Linked DNA regions of Caenorhabditis elegans. The protein of the gene in region 1 purifies or fractionates together with the protein of each later gene. This does not show direct contact. Each region holds a gene or a part of one and is shown in the gene's direction. Other genes may lie near its edges.

Region 1 (5,165 bases):
TTATAAAAAATTGTAGGTGTTTTGAGAGTTGAGAAAAATGGGAAAATAGATGCATAATGATACGAATTTTCTCCAATTGTGTAGGCACCGTTTTCGTATTCGAATTTTTCCACAATTTCTAGTTTTGCCATTTCTGTAAAAAATATAGTGAATAGAAAAATATTGTGTACGAAAGAAAAATAACTAACTCAAATGATGCTCGAAACACTCAATACTCGACTCGTTACGACGAGTGCACGCAACGATAGCAGCTTTTGAGTGGCGGAGCAGAAGATTGAGCACATTGCAGAGAGAGGCGAGCAATGCAGTGTCGTAGACAACATCTGAAAAAGGAGACGTGAAAGAGAAGAGAGACACAGAGAAATGAGAAGACTTGGATAATGAGTGCCTGAAGCTGTTATTTGAAGGGTTTCGTTTCACACGAATATCATATAGAAAAACAAAGAATTTAACAAATAAAAGTATTAGCAAAACCTACCGGCCGCGATAATCAAATCCGTGGGTTCCTTCCATTCAGAGAAATCAAAATCACACCAATTGAGTGAGCGAACTGTTGCTTGATTGTTGTTGGCTGACGAATCTACAATTTAGATTCTAAATATTTTTAAATTTGAAATACGGAAGGAGTCGATTTTATTTCTCAAAAAATACCTTCAGTATCACTCTTCAGATCGTTTTTCGCAATATTCTCTTCTAAAAGATTCAGCACATTATCATCATAATCAGTGAGCGTCACACAACAATCATTCATTTTTGCAATTGCAATTCCACTAACACCACATCCTGACCCGAGTTCTAATATTCGATTGTACTCGGAGGGAATCAAGCGAAAAAGATTGGCGAGATCACAAGAAGCTTGCCAAACTGATAAGCCAGTTGTACCCATTGATAGTTGATTTACAGCTTCCGAGAATTTCGCTAGAACTTTGTCGCCTCCATCGGTTAGGTAAACCTGAAAATATGAAATTATTTCCATTTGAGCTGACGAATTGTTTAAAAACTTACTCTTTCCACATATTCTCCTTCTTTCATTCCCATTAGAGAACCAAGCCTGTCGAACATTGAATCAGGAACAACAACATTATTGGCTTGAAGTTCAGAAATCAAGTTTTTAAGAACATTTATTTGAAATTTGTAACGAATTTCATGCGATGTGACAATTTCATTATTGAAGACATTGTTGCAAAGATTCTCAGCATATTCCGAATCTTTTATGCATTGTTCTACAATATCCTTCATTAGCTGATCCGGAATTTTTGAAGCGCTACAATAAAATCTTTTGAACTGGAGTTCAGTTGTCTCCTTTTCTGAGTGGACCATCCCGCTCAGTTCTCCGTTTTCTTGACATTTTGTGAAAATTTTGCGTTTTCGTTCTGACTGAATAAGCGGTATCAGGAGGAAGGTATTCGGGTCTTGCATGTGGAATTCCGTAGTGTTCTGCTTGAACGATTCGCTGCTCCGCTTGATAGATTAGTTTGCCAATCACTATTGGGTCTTTTTCCTGAAAAATCCCATATAATTAGTTTCCACATCAATATTGAGAACGAGAATACCTGCTGGTGCTCTCGGAAAGCCTGACGAGCTTCAGTGATAATTTGTTGTCTCTCAACTACAGTATTTGTTTCTTCTTTTGCTTTCCAATTCTTGCCCAATTTTAAAATCTGTCGATAGAGCTGAATGACTCGAATACTTTGTGGCACTGTATTCATCAAGGTGGACCCGTTTCTGGAATTATATTCTGATTATGCGAGGAAATTTGGAGAAAACAAATAAAAACCAAAAATTGAGGTGGCGTCAAGTGGCGAATGTTGGCGCGTTTCGTGTACCTTGCGCATTTCTCGATTAAACATTTTTATTTTTACACGCGTTCTTGTCGGATTTTTCACATTTTTATACGATTTTCTGATTAATTTTTCTGTTTTGTGAATTATATAAATTCATGAAAGTCTTGTAACTATATTTTAAATGCTCTCGAATGTTATTGTTCCATTTCCATTTCTTTTGTCGTTGCTATCGTTTGGCCTAAAATTGCATTTCAACACTATTTTATATTTATTTCAGGTATGGCTCTACCAAAGTTTGAACTGTTGTCATTGGCTGATAATACAGTCGGATGGGGTCCATTGGCGTCGAGTTCCTCTGCTGATGAGCCTGTTCCATTCCAACAATTCAACAAGGCTGATCGCATCGGACGTGTTGCCGACTGGATTGGTGTTGATAGATTCTATAGAAGAGGAAATGAGAGGTTTTTATACAACAAATGAGTGGTATCGTTAAAACTTGAAATTTAGATACAATGAGCGTGTCTATGGATCCGCCGCCAACGCTGGAAGTCAGTTCGATTACATTCATGGAATGGATGAGCATAACTTCCAACTTGTTGACACTTCTAAACCAATGGCTCGCAATCCACAGCGCAACTTCCGTGTCCGCCAAATGCATCTTCGTAAGATGATGCAGAAAGAAAATGAGAAGCGTGAGATGGTGAACCAGTCAACGAATTTGAGAATGAAGAGAAGTATCGCCAAGGAGCAACAACGTGCCTTCAAGATGTGGCAACGTCGTGGAGGAAATGCTCGTCAAGGACAACGCGGACAAGGTGGTCGATTCGGAGGTGATCGGCCGAAGGAACGTCTTCCATCTGTTCAAGTTAGACCGGAATGGGTTGTTCTTGAAGAAATGAATCTTAGTGCGTTTTCCAAACTTGCTCTTCCTAACATCCCAGGAGGAGACGACATTGGGGATCACCAGTATGGAAGTCTTCAATACTATGACAAGACTATTGATCGCGTTTCTGTGAAAAATTCTATTCCGCTTCAAAGATGCGCTGGCGTGTTCTACAATGTCACCACAACGGAAGATCCTGTAATTCAAGAACTTGCTCAAGGTGGTGCTGGAAATGTTTTCGGAACAGACATAATTCTTGCTACTTTGATGACTGCTCCTCGTTCGGTCTACTCGTGGGACATTGTTGCCTACAGAGTCGGAGACAAACTTTTCTTCGATAAGAGAAACACTAGAGATATTTTGAATCCAGTTGAGACCCTTACTGTTTCCGAGACTAGTGCCGAACCACCATCATTCGACGGAAATGGTATCAACAATGCCAAGGATCTTGCGACCGAGGCATTCTACATTAACCAAAACTTCCGTCGTCAAGTCGTCAAGAGAAACGACGCAGGATTCACCTTCAAGAATGCTCGTGCTCCATTCGAAGACGAGGAGACTGGAGAGTCAGGAACTGCTTACAAGTAGGATTTTCGTTTAAAATTTTGATCTTTAATTAAACAATTTTTAGATACCGTAAGTGGAATCTTGGAAACGGAGTTGATGGAAAACCAGTTGAGTTGGTTTGCCGTACAGAATTGGATGGAGTTATTCACGGACTCGGAAATGAGACTCAGACTCTTACAATCAAGGCATTCAACGAATGGGATAGCACACAATCTGGAGGTGTCGACTGGAGAACAAAGCTTGATGTTCAAAAGGGAGCCGTAATGGCCACCGAAATCAAGAACAACTCAGCTAAGGTTGCAAAGTGGACTCTGCAAGCACTTCTTGCCGGTTCCGACACAATGAAGCTCGGATATGTGTCTCGTAACAATGCACGCAGCACACAAAATCATTCTATTCTACTCACCCAATACGTAAAGCCAACGGAGTTTGCTAGCAACATCGCCTTGAACATGGATAACTGCTGGGGAATTCTTAGATGCGTCATTGACAGGTAAGAACGAGCACATCCAGACTGGTAATCAATTTTTTCCAGTTGTATGAAGCAAAAACCAGGAAAGTACTTGTTGATGAAGGATCCACAATCTCCGGTTATCCGCCTTTATTCGCTTCCAGAAGGAACTTTCGAAAGCGAGCGCGAGAGCTCCGACGAGGAGAACTCGGATGACGATCAATAAAGTCCCCGGTTTCTGACAATTTCTTGTATTCGCTTTTCTAATTATTGTCTCTTGTTAATTAAACTTGGTTCTGATAAGATAAACTTTATTCAAAATATCATTCAACATTGGGATTTAATCGCAGCGTGCAAACCGGTAATTTGGAAAGAATCAAGCCCGCATAGTTCATTGGAAATCGCAGTAAGTTCTGGAGAAGCGTTGTCCTTCTTGAAGTAGTCGTCTCCAAGCTCAACATCGACGAGGCAAATCCTAAATTTCAACATTTTGAAATTTTTTAATTATGCATTTTTTAGAACTTACACAATGAAAAGAGCAATAACGATAGAATTAATTTCTCTCTTTGTCCAGCCAGTGATATTTTCCGAATCGAGTTGGAATGTCGAAGCTACTCGACTGAGAATATCACGACGAGTTGGAGTTAAATGTAAACGTGCTTCCAAATCCATCCAGCTGTAATTTCAAAATTAATATTTAAAATTGCTAGATAAACTCACTGATTCCTAATAGAATGCAGGAAAATATTCAATCTCTTCTCTTTCACATTGTACTTATCAAGATTCGGCAAATTGACCAATTTCTCCGCGTCCACCTTTTTACCGGACAAAAAATCCATCAAAATTTGCTCAGCAGCTCCACCGGTTGGTCTGGCACCTTCTCGAACCAATTTACGAGTTTCAGGTGTGAACCAGGATCTTAAATGAGATAATTATTTGTAAAATTTATATTTTGAGAGTTTTCTAACTTAATTAAATCAACGAGCCACGCTTCTTTTGCTTTTTCCATAGTTTTCAATTTTGAATGGATCTCTTGAGCCTCAATCAGAATTGGTGGCTTCTTTTGCAGAGCATTTTTATTTCCATACTTTGCACGCAGCTTTGCGAGAACTTCGTCTTCTTTTTTACGATCTTTTGCTGATAGTACAGGTTTCGGGGCTGTTTTCAAAAGTTTCGAAGTCGATGGAGGACCAAAATTCGAATTTCTAAATTCCTTGATAGATTTGATAAAATCTTTGTCATCATCAGTTAATTTAAATGGTTCGATATCTTGATCTTCTGGATCTAGAGATTTTGGTTCTTCGGCTTCTTCGCTTAGTTTCATGTCTTGAACTTTCGCAATGATCTGAAACACTTAAATATATTAGTGAGCATTTCTCTTCACTTACCGAATCGGTCACCAGCCAAATAGAAGGTTCTTTTTTGAATTGCGAATCCACGGGTTCACTTTTTTCAGCAATCGGGCTTACAAATGATTCAT
Region 2 (7,541 bases), 1.1 Mb from region 1:
TTCGCTCGAAAATTTAAATGAACGTTATATTATATTTATTCATTTCAGCGCTCGAATTGGTTTCTAGCAATTTCCCGACTGACGGTATTTTTAACAAATTCAAGTAAACGAAAAAACTATATTTTTCTCGAGAAAAACTCACAGGTTGCATGTCATCCAACTCTTGAATATCATTATCATCTTCTGATTCATCTGCAGAATCTGCTGCTGGCTGAGGAGTCTCGTCTCCTGATTCGTCAGAAGTCGGAGGATAAATCGGAATAGTTGCCAATGGCCTTATGACTTGCTGAACATTCGGATCTTGATGTGTCACGGCACTTTCTACAACAACAGTCGGTCGGTCACCAGTACTTGTCATTAATCGTTGCGAACTTCGAATTCCAGGCAATAACGGTACGGTCATCATCTCTGTAAATCGCCTGATATCTTCGACAGAATCAGGACCCATGTTTCGTAGTAAAGCAGCCATTTCAGCACCTATTTCGTCCTGTAAAGGCCTTCCTTGTGCTGCTGTTCGTGACACTCCTGCTCGATTTCCTCTTCTTGCTAACATTGGACGTCGCTGAACTGGGCGAGTAGTTATTGGTTCAGTTGAACGAAATAGGTTTTCCATTCTGTAACAATTTGTGATTTTTCAAAAATATTTAGAAATATTGGGAAATGTGAGTTTTTTGTATGCCTTACGTATGAAGATGAATCTCTGTCCAATGTACGCTCAAATTTTCAGTTTCTTTCGATTGAATGTGCTCCATCTCTGTGTTTCCAATACAAAGCGGGCATATCTGGACGTTAACAAATTAATGTTATTTAAAGGATATTATGTTTAGCATTTTCTCTTACCACACTGTAGCCCGGAGCCTCCGGATGTTGTGAAAGTACATGTGTCCCAAATTGCCGTTCGGTCAATCCTGTTATATTACAATACGGACAAGTGAAGGAAACAATTTTCCGTTCGTCATAATGTCGCGTAGGGTCGCCTTGGTATACGAGGTCTGTAAAGAATACTAATATTTGATAACATAATTTTTTAGGGGACGAAAATTATATATTTTTAATTTTTCTGAAATCCTCACTCTCACCATGTTTTTATAATAGATGTTTTAATTATGTTAAAACTATGAAACTTGTCATTTTATTTATTACAAAAAAAACTCAAAATGTTAATTTTTTTCGATAAAATTAAATTAAAGCTTTGAATTTTTTATAAAACCAAATGTTATGTGTAAATATTTATAATCCTACCAAAGTCCACAGAGCTCAAAATTAACTGCATTGGATGGGACTCGTCGTGTATTGGGATATCAGCTATTGTTTGCTGGTCTCCGTAGTTCTTTGTGGTAAAACAACTGAAGCAGAGATCGTAATCACTGCATCGTAGGCATTTGTAACGGTTTCCAGCAAACGCGGTGAAAGCACACCCATCACACGATACACCTGAATGAAGGGAGATATTAGTAATTCTTTTCAGATTCAATTACCCTCGTGTGTGCCAGTAAGAGGAGTCACCATCAATCGACTATGAAAGCTGAAAACGATTCAATTGTTTAAATGTATTGTAAAACAGCAAAAAATAAACCAGCCAGGAAAAATCGATTATATTAAGTGGATTTTCTCAGTGTGATTGTGGAATAAAATATTATAATTTTAATTTTAGGTGGAACTGGGAAAACTCAATTGATTTTAAACATTGATTTGAAGAAAAACTTTAAAAAATTAGCAAGAAAGGGTAAACATTGTGGATATCTGATGAAAATAACACTCGCGCTTTAAAGGCGCGTAGAGTTTTCTCCGCGTGCAGGTCTCGCCGCGAAAGCCTTTTTTCGTTCATTTTCCAACCGATCGGTCGGATTCTCAGCCATCTTTTGCGAATTTTTAGTGTTTTCCGCAATTTTTTGATGTTTCTGTTGTGAAATTATGATAGAAAACAATTTTCTATTCATGATAGTGCAAATTTTTCTCAAAAATGATGAAATTTATCGATTTCTCGTAAGAAAACATGTTATTCTATTGAAAACGAGTCAAAAAGTCTAGATTATTGAAGTACTATGTGCAAAGTTGAACTATTTTCATAGCTTCTACAGTAAATACATATTAAAGAAGTTTTTAATTTAGTGTAATAGCTAAATTGCTGGCGAACTGTTAAAAAGTGATCAATTAAAATGTGAATGTACAAATTAACATCGATCCAATTGAAATTCGGAACCGTTTTTGTGATCTTTTTTTAAAAATACATTTCGAATTTGGAATTACGCTCTATAAAAAAAATATTGATTCTTAATGTAAACTTCTTTTCATTTCGCAATTTTCAGGCTTCGTGTCTCAATTCAGCGGTAATCCGAGCACAACTATGGCTCCGAATTATTTTCAAAAGCCCGAAGCGGCATTGAAACGCGCCGAAGAACTCATTCAAGTTGGAAAAGAGTCCGATGCCCTTGACACGCTTCATGATACTATCAAGGTAGGCTTTAGAATGCTCCTAATTTGAAACTTTGAATTTTCAATTGTTGTAGGCCAGACGACACAAGCAATGGACAACTGTTCACGAACAAATCATGATTAAGCACATGGAATTGTGTGTAGATCTGAAGAAACAACACTTGGCAAAAGATGCTTTGTTTCAATACAAGGCTCTAACTCAACAGGTTATCTTTTTTTTAACGATTGCTTTTGCGAGTAGAAAATTATTATTCTGACTGACAGTAATGCAAATTATTCATGCTAATTAATTAATTTTCAGATCAATGTGAAATCTCTCGAAACAGTTGTGGTGCATTTTTTGAAACTCGCAGAGCAGCGTACTGAAGATGCTCAAAAACAATCGATCGAAAAAGTCGAAGAAATTGGAGATCTTGATCAAGGAGATGTTCCTGAACGCCTTCTTCTTGCTGTTGTTTCTGGAGCAGCTGCTCAAGATCGAATGGATCGTACTGTTCTTGCACCATGGCTCCGTTTTCTCTGGGATTCTTACAGAAATTGTCTGGAATTGTTGAGAAACAACGCCCAAGTTGAACAACTCTACCACACCATATCTCGCCACTCTTTCACTTTCTGTCTCAGATATCAACGTAGAACAGAGTTCCGAAAGCTGTGCGATCTCCTCCGTATGCATCTGAATCAGATACAAAAACACCAATATGCTCCAAATGTGTAAGTGATGACACTATTCAGTAAACGCTAATTAAAATATTTTCTGTTCTTTCAGAAACTCTTTCCGTGTGAAACTCACTTCTCCAGAATCTCTAGGTCTTATGCAAGACACCAGATTGATTCAATTGGATACTGCGATTCAGATGGAGCTCTGGCAAGAAGCTTACAAGTATGTTTTTCTTGTTTTTTTTTAAAGTTCATGTGCGAGGGATTATTTTTCCAGTGAATTGATTGTTTAATCAAATTTTATATGTTATTTTTTCAGAAGCGCAGAAGACGTTCACGGAATGATGCAGCTTTCAAAAGACAAAGACAAGAGAACGGTAAAACCTGCAAGCTATGTCAATTATTATGACAAACTTGCATTGGTGTTCTGGAAAGCAGGAAACAGTTTGTTCCACGCCGCCGCCCTTCTTCAAAAGTTCATCATTTACAAAGATATGAAGAAGTCTTTCACACAGGATGAAGCACAAGAACAGGCTACTAGAGTGCTTCTCGCTACTCTTTCCATCCCAGAAGGATCAGATTCGCCATCTGATTTGTCTCGCAACCTTGATATTGAGGATCAACATGTAGCCAACATGAGACTTCTCTCAAATTTGCTTCGTCTTCCAATTGCTCCAACTAAAAACGGAATTCTCAAGGAAGCCGCACGGATTGGAGTACCAGAAGCTGCTGGACAAACCGCCAAGGATCTGTACAAGCTTCTTGAGAGTAATTTCTCACCATTAAAAGTAGCTAAGGATGTTCAATCTGTTCTTGATACTGTCACTCGCCCTGACCATCTGCAATATGTTGAGTCTCTTCAAGCAGTTGCTGCTGTGAAGGCTTTGAAGCAAGTATCTGTCATCTACGAAGCTATCAGCTGGGAACGAATTCGAAAGATTATTCCATTTTACTCTGACTTGGCATTGGAGCGTCTCGTCGTTGAAGCAAGCAAACATAGAATTGTGAAAGCTCAATTGGATCATCGTGCTGATTGTGTTCGCTTTGGATCATCCGATGCGACATTGGCCGGAGGAGTCGATGAATGCGATAACAACGAAGGATTCACTGGAGATGATACTCAATTGGGAGTGGAAGGTGTTCGTAATCATCTTGAAGCAATGTATACACGTCTTCGTGGTCTCGTTGAAGGACTCGATGCCGAAAAACGACGCAAAGAGATTCTCAAAAAGATTGAAGGACAGGTCACTAGTTATGAAAAGAACCGACCAACTGAAATCGAGCGTATCCACCGTCGCAAGAAGATGTTGGAGAACTACAAAGAGAACTGGGAGCGTGTTAAGGCTGAAAAGACTGCTGCGGCTGCAACTGAACAAGCTAAACGTGAGGAAGCAGCTCGTGCTGAGGAGATGAAGAGATTGGATGAGCAGAACAAGGAGAGCGAACGGAAAAGAAAGCAAGCAGAACAGGATGAGATTCAGAAGAAGATTAAGCAAGATCAGCTCTACAAAATGCAGCAGAACGCCATCTACCAAGAAATTATCAAAGAAAAGGGTCTCGAGCAATTCAGAGACATGGATCCCGAGCAAGTGCTGCGTGAGCAGAGAGAACGATTGGATAAGGAGCGTGCCGAAACTCAACGTCGGTTGCAACAACAAGAGAAGAACTTTGACCATCATGTTCGCGCTCTTCACTTGGAAGAGTTGAACGAGCGTCGTGCAGTGATGAATATGCGACTCTCTGAAGCTCCAAAACTTCACGATTTATACGAAGAGGCTAGAATAGCCAAGGAAATGTAAGTTTTTTTTTTCAATTAATGTTAATTTTTTGAAATTCTACTAAAATTTTAGAAAACCGAAAGCGTCTATTTAAATTTTCTCTTAAGTTTTGCTTTTCCTGCAAGTTTGAGTTTGAGAAGGATTTTCGTCGTTCTTAGCATTATGAAATGCACAAAAGTTTTGCGATAAACACGATTTAGATCATATATTAATAATTTTGTTGTTTCATTTGGAAAATTAGAATTTTTCTATTTTTAACATTAGTGATTTCTTTCTTTTTTTTGATCTCTCATTGTAATAAAAAATAATATTCCAGTGCTGCTCATGACTCACACGTCAAACTATGGGGAATGTGGGATCAAGTGCGAGACGCTACTTTTGATTGGGTCGAGTCGGTGAAAATCGACAACCAGGAAACTCTTGAGAAGAAGTTGTCTGATTGGCAAGCGAAGCTCGAGGCAGTTCGTAATAATCGTCTTGCCGAACGTGCTGAGGATCGTAAGAAGAAGCGAAAGGAAGATGCTATTCAGGCGAAGATTGCCGAAGAACGTAAGAAACGCGAAGAAGAGGAGCGTGCCCGTCTCCAAGTTATCGAAGGACAACGTCGTCAACACAATGATGGTCGTGGTCGTAGAGAAATGGAGAATTCGGTTGCTATGCAAGACAATGATTGGAGACGTAACCCACCACGTGAGAGTTTGCCTCCAAGAGAAACGAGACCAATGCGTGATGGACCAACACGTGAACCTCGAGAATTCCGTGGAGATCGTGATCGTGAACCTAGAGAGCCATTCCGTGAGGTGCCATCTTCTAAAGCTGATACTGACAACTCTTGGAGAAGTTCTGCTCAACCAACTCGTAAACCTGACGATCGCCGCAGCGACGAGTTCCGGCGCAACGATGATGTCCGTCGCAACGACGATGTTCGCCGCAATGATCCACCCCGTCCAGCATCGAAGGCTGATACTGGGGATAAGTGGGAACGAGGAGTGAAGCCAGTCGTTTCTCCACCAAAGACCGATGCCCCATCAGGTAAGATTAGTTTTTATTGTTCAAACATTTGTCGCTACAAACCTAAAAAAATAATCATTTTTCAGTTTCTGAACCGAAATCGGAAGGACCCAAGAGGTTCGTGCCACCCCATCTTCGAAACAGACAAGGAGGTGGTGGAGCAGGTGGTTCCGAGGAACAATCCGCTCCTGCTAGATCTGGAAATTCCAATGTGACAAGCCCACCAGACCGGGCTCAAGGACTCCGAGGCCCACCACCAACTGGCCGCAACTCGTTGCCTCGTCGTGACGGACCACCACCACGGTCTAACAACACTGGAAACACGGGAAATGCCGATAGTGGAAGTTGGAGAAAATAAACACATGCTCAATTTGTGCTGATTCCATATCCAATTTTCAGAAATTACTCGAATGTCCTTAAAATTAGTATCCTGGTTGATTTTTCTGTCTTTTTTCCTGTTTTGGTTATCCTTCCCCCACTTTCTCTCTAATTATAAAATCACACGCATCTATAATCAATTGTTTCGTTAACTTTCTTGGTGTTGTTATTTAAATTTCCCCGAATCCCCTGTTGACCCTCATTGAGAATTCCTATATTCTCTTCACATCCATCTTTCCGTAAACCCCAATTGTTTGAGTATTTATGAGTAATGATATGAATAAAGACATATGTAGCTGACGACTTGAACGACTTAAACGAGTGGGCGTGTCGTCGTTTGTCCGAGAGCAACTTAGAAAGTGCCCGAGGCGCATCGAAACGAGCCACATTGGGGCACCTGTATGAGGGTGCTTTAGACGACGTAATGAGACACTGAGAGCACGCTGATTGTAGAGACGGAGACGTCATGAGTGGACAGAGAGGAGACGGGGGGTAATACAATAAAATAGGATAGATGGTATGGGGCAAGCAAGCAGTGGCCCCATACACTTCTGAAGGCACCAGTTGTATTCATGATTCACCTCTCCTGGATGTGCTTCCTGCTTTTACCTTCTTTCTAAGTAAAACCGTACCAATGGTTTGAACATATATATATAACACAATTTTGATATATTATAAGTTTTTATTACCCGCACGCAAAATTTTGTGATTTTTTCCCAAAAATACAGTCCCCGGTCTCGACACGACAATTTTTGTTAAATACAAACATGTGTGCGCCTTTAAAGATTACTGTAGATTGAAAGTTTCGCTGCTGTGGAATATTCATTGATTTTTGATAGTTTCTTTTCACGCTTCGTTAAAATGTATGTGTTATTAATGTTAAGTTAAAAAGAAATATGAAAAATAAATGAAAATTCCACAGCAACTTAAGTTTGAAATTACAGTACCATTCTTAGCAATCTGTGAGATTTACGAATTTTAAAAAATGGTGTACAGTTCAAAGGGGATTTTTCTTCAAAGTACCCTAATTCCATGAAATTTAAATATAGCTATACCACAAAAAGTGAACAATTCACAAAAATTCACAAAAAAACCGAATATATTTTTATCTGTTTTAATTACCTCCAAACTGATAACTGCAAGACCAATCAGTGACTTCGAGCTTTGCCCACTCAATCTGATTGGTTCAAAAGTGGGCGGAGCGATTCGCTAATTGGTCTTCCAGTTCTTATTGTAGAAATAATTCGAACACGGAGTTTAGCAAGGTTTTTAGATCTCTCT
Region 3 (7,601 bases), on another chromosome or scaffold:
CAACAAAAAAATGAGAAATGGTATTGGTTACGACACACTTTGAAATTTCAAGCCTCTAATTTAACAAACTTGTTTCAAAACTTTTACAGCGACGTTTTGTATGCTGAAATTACACAGAAAGAAGAACCAGGTTAAAGATTCAGTGATCATTCAGAAAATGTATCAACAAGTCACAAATCAGGGGCAAACGAACGTGATAGTCATGAGAATGAGTAACCAAAAAATTGGGGAAATAGGCGGAAGGCCATTAATGGCCGGGGCCTCCAAGTACAGTCAGTCGAAACGACTAACTAACTAAAAATCTGGCGCCCATTTAGCCATTTTAGTCATTTGGGCTGTCAACTCGATTATGCAAAAGCCGGTTCTCACTGGTAGAAAGAAAGAGAGAGAGAAAGACCGAAAAGACTGACGAATTGAGAGAATGACGGAGAAAGAGGGTTTATACTTGACAAAGGATGCATATATATATATATTAATATCAGTTTGTTTCATGTCAAATGCGAAATTGACGCAAGTCGGCTTTTTTCTCATTCAGGGAGGAATCTATGGTTTTTGGGCTGTACATATAATACGATAATCGTTCGCTCTATTTATCTCATAGATTTTGTTCTGCGTTGTTTCTACGTATATATCAGTAACTTTTTATATAAAATTTTACAAATTGAATGTCGTATTTTCTTCACTTTCAAATGTTATAACTTGAGTTATTTGAAAGATTCAGTTTTATAATCAGCAGCAGTGTTTTTCGTAGTTTTTCCACAAAAAAAAAACAGTGACAAACACCAAAAAATTTACATAAAAAATGCTATTCATTAAATAAACCAATTTCGAGTAAAAAAGTAATACACTTACAAACTTATATGTACGTCTTCAGACTTACACTCAGTACTCTACAGAATCAAACTAGAAGTATTTGAAGTATCTCACGTGAAAATGAAAATGAACAAAAAATGTAGGCGAAGTGTGTGTGTGTGTGTGTGGCAAGAGGGCTGGAAATGGAGGAGAACGGAAAAGGTAGTGAACGACGACGAAAGGAGTGTGACTAATAACCTGTATAGGCATGACTACGGGGGTCGAGAATATCTTAGGCCACGATTGAAAAAAGATCAAAGATATCTTCAAATGATGATTTATCAAATCTTCTTTTTTGTTGTTTCGGCTATTTGGGTCATTGCGTGTTTTTCAATATTTGCCTTTTTATCTATCTCTAACATATCAAAAATTTCATTATTTTTGAAGAAATTTCATTATTCACATTTTTGAAAATAGATGCGAAAAAAGTGGGTCAACAACATTTTAAGTGGAAGCAGTTTGATAAGTTTCTATTGATTTCATAATTATAAATTTAGCACGTTCAATTTTGCGAGGTTATAGCTATAACGGTGACAAATCGATATTTTAAATTTCGGAAGAAGGGAAATCAGAAAAATTAATTCAAAAGCTATGCAACAATCAAACAATTTCAAAAAAGCATGAGATATAATGTGCGAGAGAGGAGTAGAGAAAGAGAGAACGAGACAGAGACACCCAAAGAAATACAAGCGGGAAGCGGTGTCGCGTCAGAGAGACGAGGCAAGAGGTACCCGCCGTCTGCCCGTCTATGTCGTCTCTTCTCACTCTCTGCTCTCTCTGCACTCTCTTCGTCTATCCACAAACATATGACGAAACAACCCCCGGCGAATGAAGGATGAGGAGGACTGCGACGCGACCGCACCGCGCGACTCTTTTGAAGGGCGCTCTATCGGACCAGTTTTGGTCCGTCGATTTTGCTGAACTTGGTCAACTAAAGGAAACCGATTGGTTTTTTGTCTTGTTTTTTTCTTTGGTTTTCATTGCATTTTTCACATTTTCTAACATTTTTTCTGTTGAAAAGAGTGATTATCTCATTAAAATACATTTCAGCAAACTCGGGGATGATTGGTGGATTGTTCGTTTACAATCACAAAGGAGAAGTGCTCATTTCGAGAATCTATCGAGACGATGTAACGTAAGTAATTTTTTATATATGGCATGTTTGGAAATGTTCAAAAATGTTTAAAAGAAAAAGTGGTGCGCTGAAACAGGGAAATAAAGAAATGAAAAAATGTTTGCCGCGCTGTTTTTGCCGAGACTGTTTGTTCACAAACTTTTCTATGTAAAAATGTTTATTGAAAGAAATGAGAAAAATGCGATGGTGTACACAAGACCCAAACAAGAAGAAATCATATTTTCACGTTTCACTAGTTTCAGCCGGAACGCAGTCGACGCCTTCCGAGTCAACGTCATCCATGCCCGACAGCAAGTTCGCTCGCCAGTCACCAACATGGCTCGTACTTCGTTCTTCCATGTGAAGCGTGGCAACGTCTGGATTTGTGCGGTGACACGTCAAAATGTCAACGCTGCCATGGTTTTTGAGGTAGCGACGGGGAAAAGTATTAGGGACACACTTAAATTACGAATTTCAGTTCTTGAAACGCTTCGCCGACACCATGCAGTCTTACTTTGGAAAACTGAACGAGGAGAATGTGAAGAACAACTTTGTGTTGATTTATGAGTTGCTCGACGAGATTCTCGACTTTGGATACCCCCAGAATACGGACCCTGGTGTGCTGAAAACTTTCATCACCCAGCAAGGAGTCAGAACAGCTGTAAGGAATTTACAATTTTCAGTGTTCAAGGAGGAGTATCAATGTTGGGTTTTCACTTTTACAGACTTAAAATGTGCTGAAATAAACAAATTTCATAGTGAGACTTCTCAAAACATTTCTTGTAATTTTTTATGGCGGGTCAAAATTTTGAAAAATTTGCTTAAATTTAGCTAAAAGCCGATATTTTGTCAAGTTTTCGGTGTCGCGGACTGGAAATAGTTTCATTTTCACATCATGCATGTTTTAGTAGTTTATCTCATGTTCATTCATTTACAAGATAGGAATTCTATTTTGCTAATTTTTGTTTTAAACGTTCCTTGATCAACGAAATAATGTGAGATAAAAAAAACAATAAAAAAGATATTTAAAAGCTATTTTTCAATAGAAACCATTTTTCATCTGCTATGACACGTAAAATTTGGGAAAGTTAAATATATTAGCTAAAATCAGACCATTAATTTTTCGCTATTTTGAAATGACAAAGAATGTTTGAAAAATGTTCGAGAAGCCCCATTACAAAATTTTGTTATTTGTTTACATTTTAAATTTAAAAAAAACTCAGAACCGATACTCCTCCTTCAAAATAAAAAGTTGCCCAAAAACAAAATGCACCAAATATGAAAAAAGCGTCACGCGTTATTCTGCCCACCTGTACACGCTGGCTCACGCTTTCAGGTTCAAAATTTTTCTAAAATTAAAGTATTAGGTTTCCGCTCTTTATTCACGAACCCTTTTTTTATAGGATGCTCCTGTCCCAGTGGTAAGTTTTCATATGTATATATTGTGACCAACTGTGTTTTGTGTGCACGGAATCATTTTTTACTTGTGTCTCTTATTTTATTGTCAGAAAATCAAAAAGATTTGCTATCTTTTCAGATTGTAGCAAAAATCTAGATAACCATTCATATTTTGTCTCAGGAGAATACATAGAATAATAGACGTTTTGCAGACCAAAGAGGAGCAGTCACAAATCACGTCTCAAGTGACTGGCCAAATTGGATGGCGTCGGGAGGGTATTAAGTACCGCCGAAATGAGCTCTTCCTGGATGTTATTGAATATGTCAACTTGCTCATGAATCAACAAGGTACACACAATAACGACGTGCATACTTTTATATCGAATATAATTTTTAAGGACAAGTATTATCTGCTCATGTTGCCGGAAAAGTTGCGATGAAATCCTATTTGAGTGGAATGCCGGAGTGCAAATTTGGCATCAACGACAAAATTACCATCGAAGGAAAGTCGAAGCCAGGAAGTGATGATCCAAACAAAGCGTTAGTCTGAGTTTCCGGGATAGGGAAACTGATACTTTATTGTTTGCAGAAGCCGTGCCGCAGTGGCCATTGATGACTGTCAATTCCACCAATGCGTGAAGCTGACGAAATTTGAGACGGAGCACGCGATTTCTTTTATCCCACCGGACGGCGAGTACGAGCTGATGAGGTACACTTTTTGTTGTACAATTTTCGTAGTGTTATTACTTTTTGCAGATACCGTACCACTAAGGATATCCAACTGCCATTCCGTGTGATCCCATTGGTTCGTGAAGTGTCTCGTAACAAGATGGAAGTTAAGGTATTTCACTTGTCACTTCAAATATTTACCAATCATGGCTCTCATTTTCAGGTTGTCGTCAAGTCTAACTTCAAGCCATCCCTTCTTGCTCAAAAGCTCGAAGTTCGCATTCCAACCCCACCAAATACATCCGGCGTTCAACTTATTTGCATGAAGGGAAAAGCCAAGTACAAGGCAGGCGAGAATGCCATTGTGTGGAAGTGAGTGGGGGCGTGTGCCCGGTGCTCATACACTGACTGAGCATAGGATTAAAACGAAGCGGCAGAGAGAAAAAGGAGAAGGGGGGGGGGGGCTCCATTTTGGGCAAGAATAAGAAAACGAGAAAAGTGGGAGGGGAGGGGGCGCTAAGAAAATTGGGCAGAAGCATTACACACTTTGAGCTGTACAACTAAAAAAGAAAGAAACTGCAATCAGAGAAATTGGCAGTAGAACATTAACTAATACTATGTAGTTGTACATATTATTGCCGAAAAGGGATATGGTTGGGATATTTACTAAAAAGGAATTTTCTGGAAATTTTTTGTGGGCTTGAAATAACAAATTTGCACCTGTAACTAAAGGAAAACATTTAACTCGTCCGTAACAGTGAAACAGAAATTATTAACTTCAAGCGCCATTTTCAAAAATTGGTGGAATTGTATACAGGAGACAAAGTTTGAATTTTCGAGTTACAATGATTCTCAAGTCTTTTCTGCACTTCTTTTCACGAGATCAAGATTTGTGGGCGGCTTGATCCCCTGAATTTCTTTCACACAATAGTTAACCAAGAGTTCAAATATGAGCTCACAATCAAAAAGTGTACCAAAAAGGGACCAACAGCTTCCTTAAACAAATTGATGTAATATCATATATATGTTTTGTTCACAATCTGTCGCAAATTGGCACGAATGTTCAAAAATAAATTTTTCATCTGACTGCTAAGCAAATGTATATTTTTGCAGTTGAAATTGTTTAAAGACTGCGATTATATTTTGGTTGTCTTACCTTTTATCAAAAACCATCAAAATATGCAAAACTGTGCTGCACGTATTTTTTCAATTAAAAATTCAAGACTTTCTGAAATTAGTGAATTTTCCAAACCTTGACTGAAGCATTTCAGAAATCTAATGCTTTTACTAAAGCTTTTGGAGCATTTTGTTTTCTAATTTTGAATGAAAAAGTTCTCACAGGCCTTATAATGTTACCATTGTTTTCAGAATAAAGCGTATGGCCGGAATGAAGGAAAGCCAAATTTCTGCGGAAATCGATCTTCTCTCAACTGGAAACGTTGAGAAGAAGAAATGGAATCGCCCACCGGTCAGCATGAACTTTGAGGTAAACTTACATTTTTTCCACCTCAATAATTGAACCATTCTAATTTCCAGGTTCCGTTTGCTCCATCTGGACTCAAAGTTCGCTACTTGAAGGTGTTTGAGCCAAAACTGAACTATTCGGATCATGACGTCATCAAATGGGTTCGTTACATTGGAAGATCGGGACTGTATGAAACCAGATGCTAGAACTTCACCCAACCCTTTCTATCTTCATTTGCTCCCCAGCCGTCAAGCTTGAACATTTGCTCATTCTCGGTTCCAAGTGTTAAATATTATTTATTTGCTTCATACAATTTTTAATTTTTTGTAATATTTTTGTATTATTTTCCAAATTTCATAATGTAGAGTCATCGCAGCATTACAGTACTGTAAGAGTTGTTTTCAATTTATAAGAACTATTAGATCTTTAGACGTCTCGATAAGCATTTTCGCATGCTTATAATTCCATGCATTTTCCGTGCCAAAATTCAAAAACCCCCGCCCCACCCCGTTCCATCTTTATTTATTGTCAGTGTAAAATTTCAAAATTTCTGGAATCTTTTTCCATCATAAAATTCACTTCAAAACGTCTTCTGAACCCCGTTGGAGCAATAACATTTTTAAAATATTTTTTTCATTTACCTTTTCTTCATAATTCATCATAATTTATTGTAACGGCTTAATTTGATATATTGTTCTTTCTACATTCCATTTTTTGTCTCTCTCTCAAAAATTTTCAAATTTCTATTGTTCATTTCTCATTTCTAGGTCCGCAATTCAATAAGTTTGTAATTCAAATGAATAGCATAATATTTATTTTAAATAAAAGTTTTTTTTATTAATAGTTCAAGATATGAGTCCCCCGAATCCATGTTCTAAACTTGGTATAAAACTTTAGTTTTTTTTCTACACACATTTTAAAACAGGTTTTAAGTTTTCAATCACGACATGGGTTCAAGTTTCTGATTTGATTCAAATGAAAAAGTGCAGTGTCAACATTTGATTCATCATAATAATTCAAGTTTTTGATGCAATAACTTGGCAATTTTACTTTTTTTTTAATCATCTAAAAATTATTTTAGCAACCTTGAGAGCATCACAATTTTCCAACTCGATAACTTTCCATATGACACGTTTTCGAAAAAACTAGAAAACTTGCATAATATTAAGCAAATGAAGCAAAGAGTTGAGAGACAAGAGTCTACAGCAGTCGATTTTAACAATAAAATTATCAAGAACTAATTTAAAAACTGATTCACGTTTTACGTCAATTGTTTTTTGTTTTTTTAAAATGGTTTTATATGATTTTGCATATTTGAATAAGTGATAAGATTATTAGTAAATATTTAGAGATGATGGTAATCAGGTACGGGCTTAGGTCCAAATAGAGATCTGTACGAAAGTAGTCCGAACAAAAATATCAAATTGGTTTCTTCATGATTTTCGAAAGTATTATGTTTCTTAAAAAGAAATCTTAAAAAACTCACTTTTAAAGATTTTACAGTTACCTTCGGGTCATCTCTCGATGAGCCATCCAAAATTTGGTAGTGGGGAGCAGTGATCTACTTGGATAACTATATACATCTAAACTGGTATATGGTACAAGAAGTGCAATCATCACTGAAGGTTCGCTCCATCCACTTCATAAGTCGTAAAACGATCTGGCTAAGAAACAGCCGCCTTCAAAAACTGCTTGTGGGAGCGCGGATATATGCAAAACGTGCAGCCGACGAGTTTCGAGGTCAGCGTTCACCACTATGCTTGCACGCAAACGCAGTCAGCGCACGACTATTCGGTTCAGTTACCCAGTTTGAGGTGAATATTGAGACTGGCGGGAAGAAACTCTACTTTTTTATCAGATCTTGAAGATATCCACATGGGGAGACAAAAAAGCGAAAAATTTTGAAAATTGGGCCAGTCACTTTCGGGTCCGGACCGTTTAAAAATGTGAAGTTGATCATAAGCGGTGTTGAAAAACGGGAGTTTCTGATTTCGAAATTTTACTTCCGAAAAAAAGTTTCCTTTTTTTTAATCTGAAACAAAAACTAAGTTTAAGTTTAATAAGTTCCGATTTTAGCAGAAAAACACATTTTTATTGTTTAAT

Evidence for each region.
Region 2: the proteins of eif-3.D (region 1) and egl-45 fractionate together in Caenorhabditis elegans (co-fractionation; one large-scale study listed by BioGRID). This does not show direct contact.
Region 3: the proteins of eif-3.D (region 1) and dpy-23 fractionate together in Caenorhabditis elegans (co-fractionation; one large-scale study listed by BioGRID). This does not show direct contact.

What each region holds. Positions count from the first base shown.
Region 1 is NC_003281.10:8,968,475-8,973,639, reverse strand, and holds eif-3.D (Eukaryotic translation initiation factor 3 subunit D), read left to right. Parts: upstream 1-2,061; 5' UTR 2,062-2,063; coding exon 2,064-2,245; intron 2,246-2,291; coding exon 2,292-3,251; intron 3,252-3,298; coding exon 3,299-3,727; intron 3,728-3,769; coding exon 3,770-3,911; 3' UTR 3,912-4,005; downstream 4,006-5,165. Other genes in the region: R08D7.4 (Complex1_LYR_dom domain-containing protein), read right to left, coding at 1-133, 189-323, 479-580, 652-952, 1,006-1,419; Putative RNA polymerase II subunit B1 CTD phosphatase rpap-2, read right to left, coding at 4,013-4,160, 4,212-4,361, 4,406-4,603, 4,654-5,030, 5,074-5,165.
Region 2 is NC_003281.10:7,823,395-7,830,935, reverse strand, and holds egl-45 (Eukaryotic translation initiation factor 3 subunit A), read left to right. Parts: upstream 1-2,309; 5' UTR 2,310-2,347; coding exon 2,348-2,458; intron 2,459-2,510; coding exon 2,511-2,642; intron 2,643-2,737; coding exon 2,738-3,147; intron 3,148-3,202; coding exon 3,203-3,316; intron 3,317-3,412; coding exon 3,413-4,888; intron 4,889-5,187; coding exon 5,188-5,903; intron 5,904-5,968; coding exon 5,969-6,240; 3' UTR 6,241-6,559; downstream 6,560-7,541. Other genes in the region: E3 ubiquitin-protein ligase kcmf-1, read right to left, coding at 143-408, 478-614, 685-782, 841-992, 1,243-1,434, 1,479-1,509.
Region 3 is NC_003284.9:4,387,463-4,395,063, forward strand, and holds dpy-23 (AP-2 complex subunit mu), read left to right. Parts: upstream 1-1,896; 5' UTR 1,897-1,913; coding exon 1,914-1,987; intron 1,988-2,229; coding exon 2,230-2,395; intron 2,396-2,444; coding exon 2,445-2,627; intron 2,628-3,369; coding exon 3,370-3,387; intron 3,388-3,576; coding exon 3,577-3,712; intron 3,713-3,762; coding exon 3,763-3,904; intron 3,905-3,953; coding exon 3,954-4,073; intron 4,074-4,120; coding exon 4,121-4,205; intron 4,206-4,256; coding exon 4,257-4,405; intron 4,406-5,401; coding exon 5,402-5,519; intron 5,520-5,569; coding exon 5,570-5,704; 3' UTR 5,705-6,341; downstream 6,342-7,601. UniProt on the Caenorhabditis elegans protein: Component of the adapter complexes which link clathrin to receptors in coated vesicles. Clathrin-associated protein complexes are believed to interact with the cytoplasmic tails of membrane proteins, leading to their selection and concentration.